Tribolium castaneum: one gene and its partner. The protein of the gene in region 1 binds, or shares a complex with, the protein of each later gene. Links are inferred from orthologs where the notes say so. Each region holds a gene or a part of one and is shown in the gene's direction. Other genes may lie near its edges.

Region 1 (2,946 bases):
AGCGATCCAGAACTCCAACAAATTGCACGAATTCTCCTGTTCGAGAAACTCCATAAAGTAGAAAAGCGCCGTTTCGTTGTAGAGAATATCGTCAAGGGCCACTTGGCCACTCGTCAAAACATCGATCTGGTATTTGCAGAAATAATCGCTGGCTAAAAACGCCTCAAAATACTCCTTCTCCATGACTTCGGTAACGAAACTCTGAACGGGGTCCAAACAACTGGCGATTTTCTCCAAGTCACAAATGTTTTCAACGAGTTCGTTACGAACTGACTCGGGGCATTTAACATTGTGAGCGGACTCCTGAGCTATGTACTTTTTAAAAATCGCAACAGCGCCCTCAACTAGACTAGATTCACACGAATCACTCGAATTTTGGGTGTCACTGGAGTCGCAATCCGTACTTATCTCACACTTAAACGACTCAATGTCCCCCCAACAATTGATAAATTTGGCGGCGTTTCGCGCCTCCATAAACTGGGTAAAGTAGCCCAGAGCCCCCTTATCGCCCAAAACCTCGTCCAAGGTCCGACATAGCCGTGACCTCGTTGCCTCAAACTCATCTTTAAGACACAATAACCCCAATTTCTACAATTTCGTACTCACCGATATCGAGGTCCAGAGGGGGCGGCTTCGGGGGCCGGGGCCGCGGCGTCACCGCTGGGGCTGCGCATTTCGTGTCATTGCCGGCTTTGGAAACACTAATTAGGAAAACCCAAACATCAATTACGAAATTACGCACCTTTTGATTTCCTCCAAAACTGTAACATGGTTCATCGTAATGATGGGTTGTGGGGGCGGGGGCGAGTCCGATCAACCCAACAGTGCCAAGAGGCCCCAAAACACCCACAAAACCGATTGTTTTGATAAACAAAGTTGATTGTGATTCACGGCACAAAAAATGTAAACGTCAAATGAGGCTGGCCACACCGACGGCAAAAAAAAACAAAAATCGCACATTCAACCACGAAAAAAAAATTCAAAATTAAGCGAACAATTAATTTAGAAGAAACATAATTGATTTTGCACTTAAGTACGCAATTTTATTGGTAAATAATTGCAAAAAAACGCAATAATAATCATGCGTTGGCTGCATTGAATGACAGTGCGGCCAACTCAACGAAGCAAAAACGTAATAAAATCACCCATTTTTTCACGTTTTGTGGCATTGGTAAGCCCCTTAAGTACATTTGCCCCCTTTTGGCACGTCGTGCGTCCCCCGAGACCACTTTTTAACCACCCTGTCGTTGTTCGCGACCCTAACCCCAAAATGTCAAAGCTTGAGCCCCTTCAAACTTTATGCAAGCACACGGGGCGCGTTTGGGACGTGAGTTGGCACCCGAAGGGGCAAACGTTCGCCTCGTGTGGCGAAGACAAGACCATCCGAATCTGGTCGAAAGACTCGGACTCGAAGTGGTCGAATAAAGTAATTCTAACCGATGGCCACAAACGCACAATTCGGGAAATTGCGTGGTCCCCCTGTGGCAATTACCTCGCCTCGGCCTCCTTTGACACCACTACGTGCATTTGGGACAAGAAATCGGGCGAGTTCGAGTGCAATGCCACTCTTGAGGGGCACGAAAATGAGGTTAAGAGTGTTTCCTGGTCGAAGTCGGGGCGATTTTTGGCCACTTGTAGCCGTGACAAGTCGGTTTGGATTTGGGAGATTGCCGAGGAGGATGAGTATGATTGCGCGGCCGTGTTGAGTGCGCACACACAGGATGTGAAGAAAGTAGGTAGCAAGGGGGCGATTTTTGTTGTTATGGAGGTTGTTGCAGGTCGTGTGGCACCCACATGACGATATCCTCGCCTCGGCCTCCTACGACAACACGGTTAAGTTGTTCAAAGAGGACCAGTCAGACAACGACTGGGTTTGTTTTGCCACCTTACAGGGGCACGAGTCAACGGTTTGGAGCATAAGTTGGGACAAAACGGGGACAAGGATTGTGTCGTGTAGCGACGACGCCACGTTGAAAATCTGGCAAAAGGGCCAAAATACGGAGGAAACGTGGAAATGTGTGTGTACCATGTCGGGGTACCACAACAGAACCATCTATGACGTGTCTTGGAACCACTCAAGTGACTTGATCGCCACCGCTTGCGGTGACGACGCTATCAGAATTTTTAAAGAGGAGGAAGGGGGCGACTTAGAGGCCCCCACGTTTAGCCAAGTCACCTGCATTGAGAGGGCGCACGCCCAGGATGTCAACTGCGTCGCCTGGAACCCCCTTCTTAGTGATATTTTAGTGTCGTGCAGCGACGACGGGGAAATTAAATTGTGGAAATTTATCCCTGAATAAAATTGTTTGACGTTCCTTTGTTTTTCTTTGATGGATAGGCGGCTGTTTATGTCAATTGTTTACAATTGAACGTCACAGCCTACTGTCGCCCATCCATTGAGATTACTTTTTCGTTCCACAGATGTTAATAAGACGGTTGGCGGCCCTAAGTCGGATTAAAAATTACTACAGCACGGGCCCCCAAATGTCGGTCAAAGAAATCGTCAAAACTTTACAATCCTACGCCCCCTTGACCCTTGCCGAGAGCTGGGACAATGTGGGGCTCCTGGTGGACCCAATGACCGACAAACAGGTCAAAACAATTCTATTAACAAACGACCTCACTGAGGATGTGGTCAATGAAGCTAAAAACTTCCAAGCGGGGCTCATTATCTCCTATCACCCTAATATCTTTCAAGGCCTTAAAACAGTCTCTGACAAGTACGCCCCAAATTACACAGCCAATCAAAACTAATCGTTTTGTCACAGGACTTGGAAAGAACGAATCGTAATCCAATGTATTAGACATGAAATTGCGGTTTACTCGCCCCATACGAGCTGGGATTGTGTCGAAGGGGGCGTTAATGATTGGCTAGCCTCAGCGTTCGCTTTTAAAAACATTGCGCCAATCAAACCATTGGAAAATCCGAGACAAGGGGCGGGGCGC
Region 2 (2,905 bases), on another chromosome or scaffold:
ATGAAAACGTATAATAATGCTGAGTCATTTTAAACTTGTGAAAAAGTATGAGTATTTCGCGTTATCTGATGCTCACCAGAGTTTCAAATTAATACTACAATCAAACCAGACACAAGCAATAATAAGATTTCATGAGATATATCGTCAAATATACACACACAAACAACGCAGCAACAAATCAGTAACATATTTTCTAACAAGAAATAAAGTGGACACGATCTTTGCCATTTACTTGACAATCCAGTTTATCTAGTCTCAAGTTTTTACTAGAATGTGTATTCAAAGTTATATTTTACAGACACAGACCTCGTAGAATTTTGGAATCACCCGGTAGAAAATAGTTCAAAAATGGTGGATGCGCCGGGCTATTTGTTCAATTTTCTAGCACAATCACTGTTACTTTTTGATTATTTTGTTGTTCCAATTTTAGAGTAGTATCACCTAGTACTGGGCCTAGTACTACTAGTAAAATTTCCAAATTGTTTACTATGCACAGTCTGTAGTAAATTTGTAGCCTTTATTGAAAAATAAGACTGAAAATAATAGGACTCATGCATAAAATTGTAATTTTAATAAAAGATTTGCAAAGTTGCGAAAGGTAATAAAAGTTACATTGAGAATATGGACACGCTTATCATTCCCCGTGAATCGTCCTGCAACAACCACTTTAGATTCGAAAGGATTCCATTAGGAGAGTTTAGGCAACCAAATCTACAAATTGAATTGAACTGAAAGACACTTATTATTGTGAACTTATAAATATTTTTTATTTATAATAATCATATGGGTACGATCTCAGGTATCATCAACACAAAAATATTCTTGTAACCAACTAATATTAATCAACAATTAAAATGTCGACTCAATCTGTTACGGTAAATTTCCATTGAGGTATTTTTCTTATTCCAAAAAACTTGTGATGAATAATTAAATTAAAAAATTAAAAAATACTATTATATTTAATTTATTTATGTGTATTTATAAAATACGAGTATATTGCCAATTTGGTGTCACAACACCTTTAAAATTTCTGCAAGTCATTGCTTTATATGGATTCACCTAATTATAGAATTCTGTTCGGAAATGAAAGCCCCACAACCCACAACAATTAACTATTACGTGCACAATCAAAACCTTTCGAACTTGGGTTATCATTACAAGAGCTTCAACTTGAGATAATTTTTAAATCTGGCAATCAGTAACAAAATGACCTCACACGACGCCGGACAATTTTCTCAACAAAAGCCTTGAATTTTTTTAACTTCCTTTAACAGTTTTCCAAATAAGCACAAAATGCCTGACCTTCTGGAGCTGGTGGAATTTGAAGGTTAGAACAGCTGATCAATTACCATTACTCGTTACATGAGTTATTTGTAAAAATTACATAATGTTTTTATCATTTTTCCGGAAAAAAACAGATAGTCCACGCAAGGAAGTCAAGGAGGTGAGTGAAGATGATAGTGAATTGAAATATACAGTTTATGGTGAGTGCTTGAGCCTGATTTTAGTAAAAATTTAATTTAGGGGTTGTTTTAGATTTAATTCGCACTATAAAGGACCCAGAGAAACCCAACACTTTGGAAGAATTAAACGTAGTTTATGAGGAGGGAGTTGAGGTGATTTGTTCCTTTTTTTTTGATAAATTGCTGAGTTTATGGTATTTGAGGTTAAGGAACGTACTTCTGGCAATGTTAGCGTTGTGAGGGTTGAATTTAATCCCACTGTGCCCCACTGTTCTTTAGCAACGCTAATTGGATTGTGTATTAGGATAAAATTAGAAAGATGTATTCCTTATAGGATTAAATTAGATATTTATATCAAGGCAGGAGCCCACACAACTGAACACGAAAGTAGGTCAAGTTTAAAGGCATTTCGTCAATAACATCTTTTTTTAGTCAATAAGCAAATTAACGATAAAGAGAGAATAGCAGCCGCAATGGAAAATCCAAACTTGCGGGAAATGGTAGAAAACTGTATTGTTGAAGAAGACTGAACTTTGTATCCAGGTATTTAAGCCGAAATGTTATTTACTATTTTATTAGAATTACATATTATATCGTATTTATAAAGTTTTTCCTTGCTCCTTTCAGTACAAAATGAGACTCTAGCTTCAAGCTCTCAGAAAATTGTTCTGGAAAATTTCCCAAAAATGTTTCCTGGTTTCGATGTTTCACTGTTGAAAATCACGGTGACGCAGCATTTCGCATATTTTTTTTCAAGACTCATTCTATTTTTGAAACAGCGTCTCATCGCTGTTTTGTGATTAATAAAAAATCTATTTGGGGGTTTCACAAAACATGAGTAACAGATATCACACTTGGGTTTATTTCAGAATAGAAAAAATACATAAGTAAAATATAAATATCTTGTCTCATCCCTATCTCTATTATGCACCATCTTGATTTGATAATTTACAAATTACACCTAAAAATCATAAGGAAGTCACTTAGACATTACAGAAAAGGTTAGGTTGCAAACAAATCTAATCCTCGTGCCGTTTCTATAAATTTTCTAAACGTCCTTATTGCTATTTTCAATCGGCTTTATAAATAAATAATACTATAACCGCCAAATTTTCGCTTAAATGTTAAAATTTTCTTTAAAAACACTTGTTTCCAAAAGCTCAATCAAGCAATTATTTGTTGCTTCACTCGCCAAAATTTCATAATTTTGGTTTGAAATGTTAATGTTATTATCAGTGTCCAGTTGTAGCAGTCTTTGCCTTTTGTAACCTAAACATAGAAAAGCCACGAGGTTAGACACAAATTGAAGGAACGGCACAATTTTGTACAAAAATAACAAAAAAGGAGACATACTAATAACGCCTCAAATAACAAGTACAATTAAAAATCTGATAAAAAATCCTAATTAGCAGTCTCAAAAAATAACACCAATTATTGGTAAA

Evidence for each region. The genes of interacting proteins can lie anywhere in the genome.
Region 2: Ciao1 (region 1) and galla-1 share a complex: the UniProt entries of both Homo sapiens proteins name them as parts of the CIA complex. The link is inferred for Tribolium castaneum from reciprocal best matches to the Homo sapiens genes CIAO1 and CIAO2A.

The regions. Positions count from the first base shown.
Region 1 is NC_087395.1:25,661,314-25,664,259, reverse strand, and holds Ciao1 (probable cytosolic iron-sulfur protein assembly protein Ciao1), read left to right. Parts: upstream 1-953; 5' UTR 954-1,099; coding exon 1,100-1,732; intron 1,733-1,778; coding exon 1,779-2,300; 3' UTR 2,301-2,314; downstream 2,315-2,946. Other genes in the region: pkaap (A-kinase anchor protein 10, mitochondrial), read right to left, coding at 1-563, 607-690, 743-770. UniProt on the Homo sapiens protein: Key component of the cytosolic iron-sulfur protein assembly (CIA) complex, a multiprotein complex that mediates the incorporation of iron-sulfur cluster into extramitochondrial Fe/S proteins.
Region 2 is NC_087396.1:14,611,791-14,614,695, forward strand, and holds galla-1 (MIP18 family protein galla-1), read left to right. Parts: upstream 1-1,148; 5' UTR 1,149-1,293; coding exon 1,294-1,327; intron 1,328-1,418; coding exon 1,419-1,484; intron 1,485-1,536; coding exon 1,537-1,616; intron 1,617-1,666; coding exon 1,667-1,850; intron 1,851-1,895; coding exon 1,896-1,993; 3' UTR 1,994-2,006; exon of another isoform or gene 2,007-2,061; intron 2,062-2,090; 3' UTR 2,091-2,374; downstream 2,375-2,905. UniProt on the Homo sapiens protein: Component of the cytosolic iron-sulfur protein assembly (CIA) complex, a multiprotein complex that mediates the incorporation of iron-sulfur cluster into extramitochondrial Fe/S proteins.